Linked DNA regions of Arabidopsis thaliana. The protein of the gene in region 1 interacts with the protein of each later gene in a pairwise test. Each region holds a gene or a part of one and is shown on either strand. Other genes may lie near its edges.

What was found.
Region 2: the proteins of AT5G07730 (region 1) and AT3G02420 interact in a two-hybrid assay, tested with the Arabidopsis thaliana proteins (one large-scale study listed by BioGRID).
Region 3: the proteins of AT5G07730 (region 1) and ATRER1C1 interact in a two-hybrid assay, tested with the Arabidopsis thaliana proteins (one large-scale study listed by BioGRID).

The regions. Positions count from the first base shown.
Region 1 is NC_003076.8:2,456,847-2,462,622, forward strand, and holds AT5G07730 (uncharacterized protein), read right to left. Parts: upstream 1,657-5,776; 5' UTR 1,538-1,656; coding exon 830-1,537; intron 750-829; coding exon 663-749; 3' UTR 501-662; downstream 1-500. Other genes in the region: XXT3 (Galactosyl transferase GMA12/MNN10 family protein), read left to right, coding at 1-284; AT5G07740 (actin binding protein), read right to left, coding at 2,230-2,387, 2,515-2,581, 2,681-2,749, 2,953-3,069, 3,147-3,218, 3,331-3,425, 3,542-3,623, 3,715-3,948 and 5 more.
Region 2 is NC_003074.8:494,600-502,433, forward strand, and holds AT3G02420 (dihydroflavonol 4-reductase/flavanone protein), read right to left. Parts: upstream 4,366-7,834; 5' UTR 4,174-4,365; coding exon 3,997-4,173; exon of another isoform or gene 3,779-3,996; intron 3,635-3,778; coding exon 3,505-3,634; intron 3,420-3,504; coding exon 3,319-3,419; intron 3,019-3,318; coding exon 2,893-3,018; intron 2,800-2,892; coding exon 2,679-2,799; intron 2,595-2,678; coding exon 2,510-2,594; intron 2,401-2,509; coding exon 2,287-2,400; intron 2,155-2,286; coding exon 2,115-2,154; intron 1,733-2,114; coding exon 1,580-1,732; 3' UTR 1,285-1,579; downstream 1-1,284. Other genes in the region: ICME-LIKE2 (alpha/beta-Hydrolases superfamily protein), read right to left, coding at 16-278; AT3G02430 (transmembrane protein, putative (DUF679)), read left to right, coding at 4,761-5,420; TBL20 (TRICHOME BIREFRINGENCE-LIKE 20), read right to left, coding at 5,921-6,224, 6,386-6,867, 6,980-7,654.
Region 3 is NC_003071.7:9,914,104-9,920,663, reverse strand, and holds ATRER1C1 (Rer1 family protein), read right to left. Parts: upstream 3,222-6,560; 5' UTR 3,022-3,221; coding exon 2,606-3,021; intron 2,078-2,605; coding exon 1,897-2,077; intron 1,793-1,896; coding exon 1,751-1,792; 3' UTR 1,285-1,750; downstream 1-1,284. Other genes in the region: AT2G23300 (Leucine-rich repeat protein kinase family protein), read right to left, coding at 3,534-4,222, 4,424-6,056. UniProt on the Arabidopsis thaliana protein: Involved in the retrieval of endoplasmic reticulum membrane proteins from the early Golgi compartment.

The DNA of each region.
Region 1 (5,776 bases):
ATCCCGGTTTGGGAGATGAAAGATGGCCTTTTATTACTCACTTTGTTGGATGCAAACCGTGTGGGAGTTATGCTGATTACGCGGTTGAACGTTGCTTGAAGAGTATGGAGCGAGCATTCAACTTTGCGGATAATCAAGTGCTCAAACTGTATGGGTTTGGTCACAGGGGATTGTTAAGTCCTAAGATCAAGAGGATCAGAAACGAGACAACATTTCCATTGAAATTCGTAGACAGGTTTGATATTCGGAGAACAACACCGCTCAAGATTGAAGCACGAAGCTAGCAGCTGATGAACCAGTTTCAGTTTGGTAAAGCACAATCAGTTCCTACTTAACTGAACAAAATGCTACATTGTTTCAAAGCTCACTTCTCTTTCTTATATTTTTACCCAATATATAAAGTCAATATATTCTTTTGTTAAACTTGAACAGAAGATGAATTATCAATTTGTTCAAGTACCTTTCAATGCAAAGATCTAGTTTTGCAGAATCCTAAGTATGAAGTGAAGTAACTCTGACTCGTAACAATGGGAAAATTTACATCTTTATCTCAATTGAGAGATTAAAATGGAAGAATTTTACAGAAAGAGAGTGGCTTGCGAAATAATATAAACAAGAAACAAAAGAATCAATAAGCTAAAATGGTTTGAATTTGTGATGGATCATCTTCTTCTTGATACAATGTCCTTGTGGTGCTTTAACAGTAACTCATTCATTTGAGCAAGTTGATGCAAAAGCTGAACTATCCTCTGTTTCAAAATCAGAAAACAATAGTAATGTCACGTCTCTTAGGCATTTCATCAAACACTTTGTATGCACAAAAACATACCTCGTCTCTCTCTTTGATCACATCTCGAAGATGATCCATGTTTTCTCCTTTAACGCGTTTCCGAGGAGCTCGTACACGCATCCACCACCAAATCGCAATGGCAAGAACTGGATAAAATGATCGGATAGTCTTTGAGAACCAGGTCAACAAATTCTTCAACTTGGAGTATAAACGTACAAGAAGAGGCTCCCACCAATCGTGGAGGACATCAACTTCACGATTCAATGGTTTCCCCAGTAATTTCCCATCTGAATCGCATGGTGGAGACTTGCCGCCTTGTTCAGAAGGTAATCGCGGAGATATCTGTTCAAATGGCGACTGTTCCCCCGAATCGGACGGTGGAGATTCACCGCTTAACAACAACGGCAGAGATTTTTCTTCAGTTTCCGACGGAGCCTTCCGGTCAAATTCAAACGCAGTCAGTGACGTTTGTCCATCTGAATCAGAAGGAAACAACGAAAAAGAAGAAGATGAACCAGAGCGTCTCGACGAAGATGACGGAGACGAGGATTCCGACGGAGATTCGAGGTATCTATCGACTCCATAGACGGAAGAAGCGACATGGAGATTCTCATGGTAGATCGGCGGGAACACAACGCCATCGTCCTTGGCGAAAATTGGCGATTCTCTGATGACAACCATTGACGAACTGTGATCCAATGGACCAATCAGGTGTTGTTCACAATAATGATCTTCATCTTCAGCCATCTTCAGTTGGATTTGCTGGAGGAATTATCTCGCTAGGGTTTGCTTGTGAGAAAGAAACAGTTGGAGGAAGAAGAAGAAGGACAAATCCATGAAAGTTTCAAACTTTTGGGATCCAAGAAGAACACGTGATTGTTGCTTTTCGCTGATTCGTTTAAGAAAATCTGGTCATACACACGTGCCATCTCATTTTCTCGCGCAATTTTCTTTTGTATTAATTAGTTTATCACACGTGCCGTCTCATTGTCTGAACTGAATCCTAAAAAGAACATTGATGTTAAGGTATACAAAGTTACACACTAAATAGACAAAATGCTCTACATCTCTCACTCTCTCTACCTGAAACCTATACAACATTCCAATCTATCAAAAATTCCTCTAATCAGGAAATAAAAAACAGGAAAGAATTCTAATTTACAAGTTAGAATTAAATCAATGTGGAGTCAATCATGTTAAACGTGAGTGGCGAAAAGACCTGTCTCTTAATCTTTCGATGGTTCCTCGATAGCCCCCGCCAGGCGAAACCGCTCCCCATAGGACCCGAGCCTGTTTTTTTAACCGCACTAAGCATCCAATGCCGCTTTGCGGAAAGGTTTACTTGAACAGCACCACCGCCTCTTTGCTGGCTTACAAGACTAGCTCAGTTCTCTTGAGAGGTTGAGGCGGAATTTGCAAATTGATACTTAAGTTTTTCGTCAGCTATCATCAACTGGTTTCTTTGTGAGGTTGACTCCTTTTGCCTTCTCCATTTCCGCTTCCTTAAGAGCTTTCTTCTTCTCTAGCTCCGCTTGCTTGACATTCTCTTCGTGTGCTTTCTTAAACAACCTTATAAAATTCAAGAGGGTTGCAGTAACTGCAGCAGTCCATTACCCGGTATTATTATTAGCTACATAACACTTCCAACTAAATAACGATTAGGGACTTTTTCTTTTTCTATGTATTGCCCAAGAGGATTTAAGTTTATAGATTCCTCGTCATACCTTGTTCAAATGGACAACGGTTAGGATCCTCGCCAAAATAGTGAGCAAGAGCATCAGCATTTCTTCCCTGCCGTCCAACATAAGAAACAACACAAAAATCATTTTCAGGATCAACCACATTGTCAAGGTAAAGGCGCTTGGAATCTAGTAGAGGTTGACAAATTACCACGACCGAGTAAAGACTCGATACAGTTGCCACTTCAGTCTCAGCAACGGATATGAAGTCCCCCAATGTCTGTTATCAAAGCATAAAAGTAGGTTTTAGGATCAGGAAGAAATTAACTCTATAAACAAAACCCAACTGAAGAATTATTTTCCAGCGGGTTATTGATGATTTTAAAAGTGATACAGATTTAGTAATGTGGCACAATCATGGAACTAATCTCAATTTCATGATAGATAAGATGTGCAAAAGGAAAATTAAAAAACCCAACATACTTTACGGAAAACATCAGAAACAGGACCATCACTTTCGGATGCAGTGAGCTCCTGGTTCAGTTTTTCCAATCCTTTGATTATAGCTTGCATTTCCTCAGCCAGAGACTTCAATTGTATCTGCAATAGACAGGACGATCAAATGATGAGCCAATAGAAACTAAGGAGTAGAGGACGAGAAATGAACAACTGCAAACCTTCGAGGCTGATTCAAGACTTTCAAGATCCTTGGGGAAGTCCAGTAGAACTGATGCCTTTGAAGCAAGGACCTGGAAAAAGAAAGATGAGAGTTTCAGAATTATGTATCTCTCCTGATCCAGACCACTTTTTATAATAACCTTCATCAGAAACTAGATCCTGCTCTTTTTGATTGTCATTTACCTTGCAAAGATAATGCATGAGAGTCATCTTGCTGTTAGCAGCACGTGTATCACTTAATTTCGATAAACTGTCCAACTTGAATCCAACAGCAGCGCCTGCAGAAAGCAAAGCAAGGATCATATCAACCACAAAGGTTATCCGTACAGACAAAACAACTAGCAATGTCTTGTGCAAAAAGATGTAGAACAAGAATAACATAAATAATACTTACCCCTTGCAGTTCCTTGGTTCAATGTGTTCCCCAGGTAAAGAATCTTTTTCATAATTTCTTTTAGCTTTTGTGAAGAGCGGACCTGATGAATAAGCAATAAGTAGAAAATTCTAACAAAGAGAAATGCATATGGACTGCCCAAAAACTAGAGTTAACTATTGCAAGCATCTTACCTCCTCGCACGCAGAATTTACAGCATTTAAACTTTTTTTGAATTCTGTTATCTGCACAAAAAACATCATTATCAATAGTCTAATAAAATTATATTTTGTCCTCCAAAGAATCAAATAGACAGAAAATAACGGTATTAAGTAATTCCACCAGACCTGAGTGCCGAATTGAAATTTAAAAGAAAAGACTCTAAGCTTTGCCTCAACTCGTGGCACCTTCATTAGCTCTAGGAAGTACTGCAATAGCAAAATGGATGACAAAAAATGTATTAACTCAGTAAGCTAATTGCTAACCATTTTATAGTAGAAGCCAAAAACAGTGCGAGATTGGTTGGTAATCTGAAGACTTAAACAGACCTGCTCACACTTTCCCAAGGTCGTCTTGTCACCAGTGTAGTTCTAGAACAAACCAGACAATTACGACCAAGAACAAGGACTCATGTCAATAACAAGTGAATAATGATAACCAATAATTGACATATTTCACAAATGATCTCCAAAGTAAAGACAGAAATAGATAATGCTACTCAAAAGTCAAGACGTAACCTTAAGTAGCTCCATCTCCTCCTTGGTTGGGCAAAACTTTATAAGATTCTCTATTTGATCAACATCTAGTACAGACTCATCCATTGCCAGAACTGCAGCCTGGACGATGCAAAGAAAAATTTGAATAATTATCATCAAACTATGAAAGGGTAACCAGTCATGACTTTCACTCAGGTAAAGTAGGTACTGGAACTTACCATCATATCAGGTAGCGGCATCTTTACTTTAGTAAGCATAATTTCCGTGTTATTGGCTCTCCTAAGGTCAATCTGAAAAACCATAAGAAAACAATATTTCAAAAAGACTAGAATACTGAATCACAAAAGTATACAGACATGCCATAGGCTGCAGAGTAGAAGAAATTCCAGGGAAAAGAGATGCGGCAGAGTAGCTTAGAGAGACATTCTTAGTACAACTTTTAATATATTTATATACATATTCGGGTAGTACTCAGATTCCTGGCAAATCATAACATGCTATCAGTCACTTCTTTATACATTTCCAAAGTCTCTACCAGAAAGGAGCAAGTTAAAACATCTGACAATACTAAGGGTTAAGAATATCTAACATAATCATAACATGCTTTCAGTCACTTCTTTATACATTTCCAAAGTCTCTACCAGAAAGGAGCAAGTTAAAACATCTGACAATACTAAGGGTTAAGAATATTTAACATTACCAGTTGAACTTTTTCAGGTTTTGCCCCAACAGATTTTCGTCGACTCCCAGATTTATCAGCTGGCTTTTGCACTGTAGCAGAGAAGAGGGTCTCTATTTCTGATACATCAAATTCTGATGGACTAGCAGAAAAGAAAGAAAAATATGATTAATTGAAAAACAATAGTCAATAAAACCCCAACAGCACATAATTAGTTCCTTGATAAACAAAGGTGCAAGAGAAGGAACTTAGAAGAAAGAGGAAAGCAAAGATAAAGTTAGTCCAATACGTTTGTGATTCTCCATGTCTCTGTAACTCATCCCATAAGCTCCCTTGCAAGGCCCTTGTTACTTTAACCCAGTGTAATGGCTTCAGGGAAGACTTTTTTTGAGCTGCAGACCCAAAACCTGGACGAGGAAGACCACGCCCTCTTCCTGCACCTCTAGGATCAACTGCAGCTCCTCTGGCACCAAGCATTGGAGGTGGAGGAGGTCCACCACCCGGAGGTCTTGGTCCAGGAGGTGGGGGTGGACCAGGAGCACGGCCACCAGGAGGTGGTGGAGGCGGCGGTGCACCAGGCCCTCTACCGCCAGGAGGCGGAGGTGGTGGCGGGGCTCCTCCACGCATCGGGGGAGGCGGCGGCGGTGGAGCTCCTCCATGCATCGGGGGAGGCGGCGGTGGTGGGGCTCCTCCACGCATAGGGGGAGGTGGCGGCGGTGGGGCTCCTCCACGCATCGGGGGAGGCGGCGGCGGTGGAGCTCCTCCACGCATAGGGGGAGGCGGCGGCGGTTGGGCTCCTCCAAACATAGGGGGCGGCGGTGGCGGTGGAGCTCCTCCATGCATAGGGGGAGGCGGCGGCGG
Region 2 (7,834 bases), on another chromosome or scaffold:
AGGAATGAAATTTACCCGAGATATCCAAGAAGGTTGAAGCTAAGTCGAGTAATGAGATACGTCTCGGCAGCTGCATGGCCTATGTCGCGACCGAACGACTGCTGCCGGCAAATTCGAGGCGAACCGTCCTCAGAAGAATTCCCGGAGACTCTTCTACGAACATGTTCCGGTGAAGATAATCTGTTGGAGCCGTGAAGCAGCTCCATTTCCTCGGAATTCGCTGACCAAGCCTCTCTGTTTTCAGACATCGGACGGCATCGTTCCGGAGACAACTGCATCTCCGCCGTGAAAGTAGTCGGAGAAAGATTGGATCTCGAATTTTGTATCCTCCTCCTCCTATTCGTGTCTTGTGCTTTTATAATTGATCGGTTCTTGTTTTTTTTGTTTCAATTTTCAAATATTTGAAAAGCTTTCACTCATGTGCGGCTCTCTCTCTTTTTCACAGAGGAATGTCAAAACGACGTCGTATTCCGGTCCTCTTCTCTACCAATTTTTTTCCTTCCTAATGAGTATTATTAATGTGAATAAGTTACAGTATTCTGATTTGGTTTCTTTAATCTAGTAGTGATTACGTACTTTGAAGAGTTCTTTTTCTTATTTTGTGTATTAAACAGCAGTTTAAAGGGTCCCGCTCCATATATTAAATTGTGATTAGAATTGCGTTCGAACACAATACGCTATTGGTGGTTTGATGTCTCGACACTCGTATTTCGTATAGTTGTGCATAGACGCCACGTGGTATTGCTTGCTGGTACTAGACTTTGGGAACGTGTTCGGTGATTTAAGCGGTGGCACGCGCACCAATGAAGGGAATATGAATCAATGATTAAGATACCTTATTCCCAAATTTGGTTTATCTAAATAATACTCCTCTCCCCCCCCCAATGTACATTATTTTAGATTTCCTTTTTTCGAACAAAAACACTCATCCACATGTGTAAACGACTCACAACCAATCAACTATAATTTCTTTAAATAATCACCCTTTCAATATATAATAATTTTACACAATGAAACCGATTTTCTAGGGCCAGATGATATTTTAGATGATTTTTATTTTTGAGCAAAAGTTCTACAATCACTCATGGAATCAGATATTATAAAATTTAGAACATTTTCATCGGTAATTTCTCACATAATTTTTTATTGACTAAAAAATATAAAATAATAATAAAGTATGAGAGAGATAAGAGAGAGATTGAGAATTGTTTTTATGCAGAGAAATTTTAGAGTAATGATTGAGAGACTATATGTATATGTATGTGTTTATAATTGGACAGAAACTAAATCATAATAAAATATTATTATTATTATTTTTTTAGAAACTTTTGAAGTATCTCACCAATGAAAATGGCAAGGTGGAAACTGGAAAGGCAATTAGTCACATATAACTAAACTAGAAACCAAAAGTAATAAGAGATTTTTATTTCAGCGATAGCCAAAGGAAAACGTTAAAAGAGAAGAAGAATCTACTTTACGCTGAATATGAAATTAACATGGATTGTTGAAAGCTATTTAATCAATCTTCTGGTTTTTCAAAAGGGTTTCAAAAGTCACCTCTGCATTTTGTTTCTTTTTATCACCTGAACCACCATCTCTGAACGGCACTGACCGGAGTATTCAAGAAAGGAGCGTAACGTTGGATAATCGGAGTCACCGTCCTCCCTATTCTGCTCCACGTGCTCTGGTGGTAACCAGCTGTTACCGGTGCTTGATACATCAGCTTCAATAGCTGCCACCAAAATAACAAAACTCAGTTCATGAGAACAACTCTCAAGATCCAACCAACAATCCTGCAAACAACCTAGTAGATCTTTGTTTTAGGAAGAATATGAGGAAAAGGTTTTTGAACTTGACAGATTTTATAACAAGAACACAAGATTTTTAACCAAAAAAAAACAAAACACAGTTCTCATTACTATCCTGATGGTCTTAGCCCATGTAACACTTTCAGTGACAGAAGATCATCAAAGCAACAAAAAAGGTGTTATTACGGAAATGATTCTTCCTATATGTTCACTTGGATCAAATTAAACAAAGAAAACAGGGGTTCTACTTGGGAATGTTGAGCCATCACAAAGAACTGATGACTACAACCAAAAGATGATACGTACCTGCCAGTACATGAACGTCTGTATAATGTTACGTTGCCATCTGCAGTAAGTAAAATGACAATTTTGTTCAGATAAGTGAAACCAGCTAATGCAAAGCTGGGAACTTAGTGAGAATATAAACTTAAGTGCGAAAATAAACTATTATCGCTTCTAACAGGTTCAAAGAGCTTACGAGAGCAGAGAGATAATCAGAAGGAAGCCAATGGCTATCTCAGCCTGCGATGACAAGATGTTGAGGGTAGTAGTGTTTGACTCCACCCACACACAAGGGTCTTCCAAGTACTTTCTGATAACCATTACAGAACAAGACACATGTACAACATAAGCATCAGTAAGAATCCACACATGGAACCTACTACTACATTCAAACCTGCTAATCAGCTCGATGCACCTACCTGTATATAGTGGACCGACCAAAGTTACGCCTCAAGAACTTGGCTACTTGTTCAAGTGCCCGGCACAAGATGGGAATCAAAGCAACTGCAACAGATTGATAATGAGACTAGTCATAAGAATGTACGTGATTTGAAGACATTCACAAAAGAGTTTTCAATAAATTCTTACACTTGAGACAGAGATGTGAAGTGACGAATGTAAGGCAGTAGATGAAGTAGATGAAATCCTTTGCTGCCACAATTGATTGAAAATAAACTTGCAGCCCTTGCATATTCCATGCCCTTGGCCTCTGCAGATTATAAAATTACAATTCATAAGTAACAAAAATTTCGCATTGCATGATCACTAGAGAGAAAGAAAACATGAAATTCACATGGCGTACCCCGTATAAGGAGTATAAGGAATATAGAGATGAGCATGCAGTTCCCATGAAAGATAGACGATAAGCCCTATTTGAGAGGTTCTTTGGTATTAGAGGTAGCACTGCCAGCACAGCTATAACAAAAACCTGCAAAAATGTAATGGATTTAGAGACATGAAACGGGAGATAAGTTACGTGAAGCATTCCAGACAAAAAAGCATTTGTCACATCTAGTTCATGTCTAAGTACACAACAAAGATTCAGCAAGACAGGAGAACATAAAGACAGACAATACACTATGCACCATCTCATTACTGTCCGTGAAGTTAAGGAGTGAACAGCAGATTGCAACAACAATCCCAACTCACAGGGCTAACAAGAGCTAGATCTTTTTATTAAACTTGTGCAATAAGAGGAAGAAACTGCAACTGAAAAACTTTATCTTACCCAAGCATTGACTGAAAACTGAATCGTCTGCTCATCCCAGCGCATTGAACTTGGGGTTGCACCAGTCGTAGCAGATGGCCCAGAGGTTCGAGGAACCGATCCTGAGGCACACAATTAGGTAAGTTTTTGGTAGTAATAAGAAAAGCTCATTTGAGTTCAAGAATATATCAGACAAAGAAAGTTGACCTGAGTTCCGTGAACGAACTTGTTCATTTGCATTAGAAGATGCAGTTGAAGATGCAGATGTAGCAGTTGGCCTGGCAGATTGTGAAGACGAAGATGAAGTCGACATAGGCTCCACAACAAGATCAGGATCCTGCAAAAAAGAAGGACATGGCAAGCACCCTAGATTTAGAAACAAATCCAGATTACATCTTCATAGGGAAGAGCAAAGATGAACAACACGAAGGCTTCACATATTATAAACAGGACCTAACGAATATTCAATGAAAAGCCCTACCCTCCGCTTAATAACCTAATCACGAGGAGATTCGGACCCAAGGACTAAGCAATTTAGCAGAAAGAACATCAACAACCACACTTGTAAAACCTAAGATTCAAAGTCCACACTAAATCCCCAAATCAGTAGCGCACACAACACAAAGTCAAACTCGAAACTCAAAGTAATGAAGAAAATGGATAAGCAAATTCAAGAGTAGGGAAGATAGTAGTAAGTACGATGTAGCGTTGGTAGAATTTGCGCTTGAAATGGTCGACGACCTCGGGACGAGAAGCCATGTGAGGAGGGATGAGGATATTGGACCAGTAATCGGCCCATCGAGCGTCGTTTTCGTAGTCGAAGGCAGCCGCCGCAATTTTCTTCAACCGCTGGGAATCTTCGCCGCCTTCCGCCATGGATGAGATCGCCGGAGAGAGAGATTTGGATTCGACTTTTTTTGTATGGGTTTTGTTTCTTTGGTCCACTTTTCCTATACTTTACTTACTACTAGTATCTGTGGACTTTTGCAAGAGCGACGACGTTTTGGCAATCAGTTGTTTATGATATTTAATATAAAAATAACTACAACTTTGCAAAAGACTGGAAACTTTGAGGGTTTGTATGCAATTTATCCAAAGAAAGAAAATGAACAAAACAGAGCATTGGGAAAGAAACCCTAAATCGTGAGAACAGAGAAGGACTAGCGTGCGAAGAACAAGCAGAATATGACACAGTTATATCTAGCTCAATCACTGTTTTCAGCATTATGTTCTATCTTGTTAAAAGCTTTAAAAAGTCTTGTATTATTTGTCGTGTATAATGTTGTTTATCGTACAAGTTAACTGAACAGAGAGATTACTTAAATACAGACAGTCCACTATGCGTAAACTAAGTTATCATTAGCTGTTTCTATATCGTAGCATCTATAAAAAAACATCATCATCATTATCTTCACCAATATCAATCCAACGATCGAAACCTGAAAAGAATCAAAACTAAAAAGATGTCTGCCCTTCGGCTAAGAAACGCAAACACTCCGGCTCCGGAGCTCGACGAGTTATCCGATCAGACACCGTCAGAATCCCGGGTGCTCAAGAGACAGATGTCAATGTCTCAGCGAGCCATGTCAAACACCCTGACGTCAGCAGCCAATCTCTCAAACCTACTCCCAACGGGAACACTCCTCGCGTTTCAACTCCTAACGCCGGTTTTCACTTCAAACGGCGTTTGCGACCACGCAACGCGTTTCCTAACCGCCGTTCTCCTTTTCCTCTTAGCCGCGTCTTGCTTCGTCAGCTCCTTTACCGATAGCGTTAAAGCCGACGATGGAACTATCTACTTCGGTTTCGTAACGTTCAAAGGCATGTGGGTCGTTGACTATCCTGACCCGTCCGGGTTAGGTTTACCCGATTTAGCCAAATATCGGATGCGGTTCGTTGATTGGATCCACGCTACGTTGTCGGTTTTAGTGTTTGGAGCGGTTGCGTTGAGAGACAAGTATATAACTGATTGCTTTTATCCGTCGCCGGAGGCAGAGACGAAACATGTCTTGGACATTGTTCCGGTGGGTGTTGGGGTTATGTGTAGCCTTTTGTTTATGGTTTTTCCGGCGAGACGCCACGGAATTGGATATCTTGTTACCGGTAGCGTAGATCGCCGATGATTTATAATTAAAACCAATTTAGAAACGGTAGCGTTTGCATGGTGGGTTGACTATTTTCGTTTGTTTTCTTGTTTGTAAAGTTGTATAATTTGTATATATACGTTATGACCATTATTCTTTTTATTAAACTAATAAATTTTAATTTTGTGTCAAATATATATAATTTTCCTAATTCAAATAGACTTTATTTATTTGAATTCTAAAATCATTGCATGGACTTTTTGATGTAAAATACATTAATGTATGTACGGTTGACATGTTACTTGGAAAACGTTGACTATTTTACTTCATTTGTACCATAAACTTATATTAGATCCATATCATTAAATATTCAATGTGTTAATTAAGATCTGAAATTACTTAAAAGCTTATATCTGATTATGAAAACCGTGCCAAAAAGGGAAGAGATCTTTCTAAATACCACATCGTAACCAAACATACTCGTATATAATTACAAATGAACAAAAAGGGTTTAACTGAGAAAATTTAGATTCTACGTACTAGTATTTTAATCTCTTTAAATCTCTATTTTTCAACATGTCTAGTAAAAAATCGTTCCATGAATCAATTGGACCTGGCAAACACCAATGTACACAATCATTATACAAGATAACTTTATCTTCTCGTTTATGTCCGAATCTGCTCGGATGTCCATCTGGTCTTAACAACATCATCTGTGTGACATCTAGTAATCTCAAATTTAATCCGTCATTTCTGTTTTTGTCTCTGTTTGCAATGCGAAATTCATCGAGTTGAATGCTGTGTGTCTCTAGATTCATACCATCTAACTCTGTCTCATTGCTCCTATATAAACACAAAAGAAACCCAAAGGAATATATAGACGTTTCTATTAGGATGTGACGAATGAAAACTCAAACAACAACAAAAAAAACACAAAACTCATAATATTAAAGTATTCTAGAAGAAACTAATATTTTAGAAAATGTCGGATGAACAATGTATACCTATATGGTCGCGTTTTCAAGCAATTTCCACCTTTGTCCCATTCTCCACCTTCGAAATGTGAAGGAGCAAATGTCCTCAGAAACACTTCTCCTTTAAAATTCTCTAATCCAAGAATTGTCTTGAATGTTGTTCTCAATGCTCTTCTATACGCGAAATGTGCCCCGACATTTCTGACTCCGGGAATGTAGCAATACAAACATCCTATCCTTTTTTGTTTGTCGAAAAGGAAGAGTGGTCGGAAAAACCATTGTCCAGATGAGATGATTATGTAATCGAACTCACCGATTTGGGAAGCCCAAGTAGGGTCAGGTTCGTCGAGGTAGAGATTGTAGAATGAATTAGGACCTGTCGGACCGGTTTCCGTTTCTTCAGCGCGAACCAAATGTGTTGTCCAAAATGTGGCGATCGTGAAGTTGTACGTTTTGTATTTCCATCGTTGGAAATTAAACTCCTGTTGTGAGTCACCCTCAGGATGTTCCACCTGAAATTAATATCTAAACCAAGGTTACTTTTGCATCAAGTAATGTATTAAACGAGTAAGTATTGTCATAAAATAAATAAAAAAGTTGGATAAGCATTGAGAGAATTGGTACCCGAGAGAGTAGGCAGATCAAAGACTGAACGTGGTTTCTGCTAACGGAGTCACCAACGAACGCCATTCTTGTTCCTCTAACTATTTCCAGAAACTCGTAAGGATCAAACAGAGGGAGATCACATTCTTTAGGTTTCCATCTCCATTTCATGAAACCTAAATCAGGTCTTCCATACTTGATGCAGTTTTGGTGTTCGTGTATCGCCCTGCATGTCGTGTTTGTGTAGTACGGGGCTTTAGGGTTTGGGATCCACTCGCCGGAGAATATATCGCATTTACGTTTTCTCTTTTTCCGGCGGTGCTCTTTCTTAGGAGTTACTTGATGATGACCATTCGATGATGAGATGGATAGACGATCATTGTTATGCAAAGATGATGACTTGGGATCATGATATGTGTCGTCGTAATCATTATCATACGACGATGGTTCTGAATCTTCTGTCTTATAACTATCTGATGATGATGATGAATGGTTATACCTAGATGGAGAAGATATTGCCGACGACGATGATGAATTCGATAAATGTTTGTATGTTGATGTTGAATAATAGAGAGGATAACCAAAAAAGAGATAAAGGATTGGAGCTATCGTAAGTAGAATAAGAGGAAATATCACTAGTCCTATTCGTAACTTTGTCGCAGGAAGTTCCATCTCCTTCTTCCGAGAAAGTATCATTTAAAAACAGAAAAAGAATAGTTTTGGGATTTCTGTTTTATGTTCAATGGATGAGAGAGATGTTTGGAAGAATTTCGATTATTGGATTAGCATCAAACAAGGTTACCAATTGATTGGGACATTGCTAAAAAAAAAAAACGAATGAGTCGTTTGATATATATATATATATATATATATATA
Region 3 (6,560 bases), on another chromosome or scaffold:
CAAGAAAACTAGCTTAGTGGACACAACTCAATAGCCTATAATTTTGACCCAACACTCTCTTTTCTTTTTTTTTATCAACATATATTCTGCGAATCAAATGAGCTTCCATAAACTCCAATTCTTACTTTGAAGGGCATTCATAATAAACTAAGAATTCCCTACTACTTCTGAGTGAAGGTGCAGAGACGTCACTCGTCCCAATCATATTTGAGGATGCGGAATAAAGATGGAAAGTATAACATCACGTTTGAGGTTAAAGCCTTCAGAATTTTCCTTAATATGACTTTTCATTTATCATCTGATTTTGTAATATATATGTTTAAGATTGCTTAAACTGATGCATTGAATAAGGTCCTGGTTTTGAAATACATGAATGATTTGTTTTTTCATACCTCCTTAACAAATGGACCATTATCTAATGACGTAAGCTATATCTCCTCATAGAGGACAACTCTAGTTATCAATTAGAACATCTGTTCCTTGACATTCAATTTCCAAGGAATCCACAAGAATGACTTTGTCATTCCGTCCATTAATCAGGTAGATATTTTTGACCACATCTAAATGTGGATGACTTTGTATTTCGATATGGTCAAAAATATTTACCTAATTTAACGACCGAAAAACGAAGTCATCGTTATGGATTCTTTGTAGACTGAAACTCAGGGAACAAAATCTCCTCTTCCAAAACCTCTGGAACATTTGGCATCGTCGTCATATGTTTTTTTTTTTCTTTTCTTCTTGGTGTATTGTCAATTGTGAATGGCCGCAACAGGGTTTTATAGTATTTATTAAATAGGCAAATATGGTTAGTTATGATTTAAGAATATTCTCACCGATTTCATGTTAAATGTTTAAAGAAAAAGGAAATTATTGATAGACTAGGATATCTACTTGGTCAATTCCGTATCTGTGTATTTTAGAGTATCCTAATTTATTGTTACAAATTCAAAATCAGACTTGCAGTGATTGCTATTGGGCCGTTAAAATGACCAAAACTGGATTACTTATTTTTACTCAAAATCAGAGTACGACGATTGCGGAAAGCAAAATGACAATATCATCAAATCTTGGTTGCCATTTCTTGTTTTCCGGGTTTATGAAATCACACCTTTGTAGAGAGACTAGATAGATTATGAACTTCACATATGAAACTTTACCAACCATTAAGGAAACTGAAGTAAACAGTTTCCTACTTGACATATTATCTCAAATCTCAATCGTCATATGTTGTGAATGACTATATACTTTGCTAACTATGGTAGTTGTTCGTGAGATTTGGAGTTGTATAGTACCATTCATTTTTAATGAAACATTGTATCTATCAAAACTAACACTTGAAAGAAAAAAAACACATTATAGAATCAGGAAGAACTCAGTGAACATTCATGAATACCAAGCATATCGCAATTTCCATGTTCTTAAATAACTAGGACACAATCCATGAACATCGATAGAACCGGACAGTGATTACTGATTAGTCTTTAGTTTTCCACCATGATGATTACAAAAGGGTCAAGTATGAAACATTATTTTCTCACTGAAAAAAGGATGTAAAAAAATAAGATTGTACATTGAGTTCAGGTGAAACCAGTAAAATAGTCAGGATGATAAAAGAGCAAAATATGTCTATCTCTACTTCATCCCTAACAAAGATATAGGCCATCAAAAGAGAACAAAAGACCGACCTTTTCAAATGCTACTTCTCTCAAAAGACTGTAAAATTGCTGACCTGAACAGTTTTGATTGATCATTCACTGCTCTCTGTTGGAGCCGGTTTCTTTCCATACTGCTGCAAGGGAAAAACAAACCGAGGATGAAGTTAGAAAACTTACTCAACTTGTTCAGACGTTAGAGTCAGTTCTGTGAAGGAAGGAAAGAAAAAGAAACACACACCTTTTTCCCAAAAGAGAAAGGGACATATCTGTATTTGATCATATGCTGTATCTGTTTCCTCATCGTAAGGAAAAACAACATCACCCAGTAGAAGAGAAGTATTGGCCAGAATACAGGTACATCAAACACCTCGAAGAACGTCATCATAAATCCGATGATGAAAGCCCTTATGATCGATAACCTTCATGGCAAAAAACACACACACAACATTCCACATCAAAAAATCCAAAGGACATCAAATCGAGACTTCATCACATTCTAGATTGATAAACCTAAAAAGAATTCATACAAAGGCTTCACAAAGTGAATCTTGTCGATCTCTTCTAAATTTGGTTCTAAATCTTGCTAAAAATGTAGTTTCTCTGCAGAATTGAATCAATCTAGCTACATCAAAGTCCACAATAATTGAATTCCTCAACAAGTAAGTCATCAAACATCATTATCAATCATCTGATCTAACGATTCAGTCATGAATTCATCTGCAATCAAACCAATAACGCTACTAAAACCCTAGATCAGATCTACGTAATCTAACTATATCAAAGTCTACAATAGTTGAATTCCTTAACAAGTAAGTCATCAAGCTTCGTCATCCTCTCAAGTCTCAATCGATAAAGTGAATCAAACCAATAACGCTATGCTCAATTTCACTACTAAAACCCTATATCAGATCTAACAAAATCAATAATACAGAATCAAAGAGACGAACCAGAATTTGAACTCAGGGAGACGGCGAACGAAAGGACGATACTCATCGGATCTCCGAGTAGGAAGAGAACCACCGGAAGTGAGAGAAGCTTCGGGATCTTCTTGAGGAGATAGAAAAGCAATGATGAGATTCAAAAGGTAGATGCCGATGGCGTAAGTGATGATGTAGAAGCCTTCCACAAAGTAAACACGAACGATGTAGATCAATACAACACAGAGACATGCGATCCATCGATAGAGAACGTGAGGAACCGTTTTGTCGAGAAGATGTTGTTGTCGCTGCGAAAAGGCGTGGATCAATCGGTTAACGGCGTCGGCGGGAGATGATGAGTCGCTTGATTGGAGATTATCATCGGTGGCGGTGGCGGTGGTGGCGGCGGCTGCCGGAGGTACAACAGCCGTTGCTGCGGATTCCATCGGTGGATACTCTCTCTGTGTCTCTTTGGTTTGATCTCTCTCTCTACCTCGGAAAATGCGACGGAGGAGACGGAGATTCGTAGATTTGGATTTGGGACTTTTTGGGAGATCAGATCAGATCATATCCGGTTTACGGAAGATCTACTATTTACTATCCGAACCGGTTGAAATTATACGATCAATCTATCGGTTTACTTGCGGGTTTAGTGGTTCAGAAATTATTAAACGATTTATATGATTGGTCTACTGGTTGAAAATATAGTATAACACATTAACTTATGTTTGAAGATTTAAGTATATGGGAGCCAACTCCAAGTCTCCAACACAAACCGAACTTACACTAAATTAAACAAAAAACGATTACAAACCAAGCTAACCTAGTGGTAGTATCCTAAAGAATCATATATAAAAACTCAAGTGGACAAACAACAAGAAAGAACAATTTGCATCATGTGTATATACTTTGGCCATAGAGAAACGCTTAGAGACTAGAGTTAGTGTAAGATCAAACGTTAATAGTGTCCGTAATGGTACGATGGACTCTTAGCCGATGAGCTAATAGGATATCTTTCAAACACTACTAACGCCTCTTTCATGGTCGGTCTCTTTTGTGGAATTTGAGATGCACAACTATATCCCAATTTGAAAAGGCCAAGTAAAAAGTCCTCTTTGCCTTCCAATTCGGAGCGGATCGCTACATCAGCCATTATTAGCGCCCGGTTCCCGTCCTCTACGGTCAGCCCATTTCCTACCCCCACCTCGTCTATCGACACTATTTTTCCCGTGAGCAGCTCGAGGAGGATCACTCCAAACCCAAACACATCCCATTTCGGGTTTGGTTTGAGATTGCGGAGCGACTCGGGTGCGCAATAGGGAGATATGGGCCCAACGGAGCTTGGACTTGGGCTCGGTGTGGGCCCGATGGTACCAAATTCACGCGAGGATGCTGTCAATCGCTTGCTACTGAAAATCCGAGATGATCCACTAGCTCGGTTATAGCTAGTATCCCCGGCGAGAAGCCTTTCGAGCCCGAAATCTCCGATCTTGGGCTCCATATCTTGGCCCAAGAGTATGTTACTAGGCTTCAAGTTACCGTGCACATGTTTCTTGTCGTGGAGGTAAGCAAGCCCACGAGCCAAACCTTTTACTATCTTGAGCCGAGTCTCCCACGGTAAATGGCACGGCGAAGACCCTCCTTTCCCTGTCCAATAGCACAAAGAATCAAAATTTGACCAGCCGTTGACTTTATTAATACAGGTGTAATTTAACTACTACCAACTAATATGAACACAGTAGCAAAACCCTGGTGATGCTAGCGTGCGACTTGATCTTATGCTAACATGTGCCTTTATCATAAAGCGAGGAAAAAGATTGAAATGTGAAAGAGATGATTTTGACTCACTGTAACGGGCGTTGACGAGACTGCCGTTAGGAACAAAATCGTAAATGACCAATTTCTCGTCGGTGCCCCAATAGAATCCACGAAGACGTACCAAATTCGGGTGAACCAATTTACCAATAGCTCGAATATGTGCCTCAAAGTCTTTAAACCGGCGTTGTTGACTCAAACCATTCTCACCTAACCGACGAACCGCGAGAACCGTACCGTCCTCAAGAACAGTCTTGTACATTATACTCGAACCAGTGGCTCCTAAAATGTAAGCAGAAGCCTTAAGCAAAGTTTCAACTTCAAGCTCTTTCTCTCCTCCATCAATGGTTACTAAAGTCCCTTTCTTATTCTCTCCAATCTCTCCTGACCGTTGATTTTCTTCGTCTTCTTCTTCGGTTTCATCGGTTTCTTGATTCTTACGGAGACATGACCATTTTGCAAATCTGCTTGATTGTTCTGGAGATGAAGAAGATGTAGTTGTTGATGATGATGGTGATAACGAAGTTGTGTCTTTAGCTTCATGAGCTTCTAGGCTATGATTGTTCTTCTTCTCCACTGTCTTGTTGTTTTTGTATTTATAAACGTAGAAGAAGATAAGAGCGAGGATTCCGATTCCGGCGATATCTCCGACTATGATTCCGATTATAACTCCTGGTCTTAACCCGGTTCGAGGATTTGAGTTGTTGTTCGGTTCGGTTTCTCGATTAGACCCGATTGATTTAGGTATAGCTGCGAGTGCAGGTGTAGAGGTTGGTGGCGAGACGGTGGCCGGAGATGAAGGAATGGGACACGGGTTTCGGGTCGGACCTCCGCATAAACCCGGGTTTCCGGAAAACGAAATTGATTTCTGGTTAAGGTAAACCGGAGAATCTGGGATTGAACCGGTTAAATTGTTGAAGGAGAAATCAACGGTGGCGTTTTGAGGAAAACCGGCACCAACATTCGGAGGAATCTCTCCGGAGATTTGGTTATACGAGACATTCAGGTATCGGAGATTGTCGCCGGAGAAATCAGGTGGGAGTGAACCGTTGATTAGATTTGAAGAAATGTCTAGATACTGAACCGATCTCCATCCGCCGCCGGGAAACTCGCCGGAGAAGTAGTTGTTCTTCAGAGAAACCTCCGTTAAGCTTCCAAGAGACGCTAAGTTAGCTGGTAGTTTCCCGGTGAAGATGTTATCGGAGAGATTTAACGTCTGGAGGTTGTGTAAACCTCCGATTGATACAGGGATCTCGCCGGAGATCAAGTTATTTGATAAATCAAGAAACCGGAGCTTATCGGCGGCGAAAAACTCAACCGGTAATGACCCATTGAGTGAATTATTGGAAAGATTAAGACTTTGGAGGTTTTGGAGGAAACCCAGATCGGAAGGAATCGAACCAACGAGGTTAGAGTTTGGGAGAGATAAAGTAACAACTCTTGAATCGTTATTACACAACACACCTCGCCATGAACAAGGATTGTCGTGGTCGTAGTTCCATGATTGTAATAAAGAGAGAGGATCAAGAAGAACAGAGTATTTGAAACTCAGTAAGAGAACTCCATCAGAGTTTAAAGCAGAGGAGAGAAGAAACAGAGAAGAGAAGAAGAAGAAGAAGAAGAAGAAGGAGACGAAGAAGAACGGTGAAGCTGATTGTGTTTTCATGGCTTCCAAGGAAGAAACCGCATCACCAGAGAGAGAGAGAGAGGGTCAAGAGGTAGAAGAAGAGAGAGTTAAAGAGGAAACAGCTCACGCAACGCAAAACCAAACCTCTCTGTTTCCTGCTCTCTGCAAAATCTGCAGTTTTATAAATACTATAATCAATGCATTTTGTTTTTCTTTTCGATTAAAGTAATCAATGCATTTTTGCACTTCCAGTTTCCAGGTTTCATTAATCATTGAATATAACAGATTTATTATATATATATGGACATATACTTAGACTACTATACTTTGTAGTTTGTACCAATATCAACGTCACTCGGATTCGCATCCATGTACTGATTACAAGCTCAATAAAATACAAAAATATATACTATCGTATTTATGATATATTGGTTTAACAAAACTAACATTCTTTATATATTTTATCAAAAAAATCATTTTTTTTTAATATTAGAGCTGATTCAATGAAAATGGTGGTTCGAAACTTCGAATCATCAATGTATT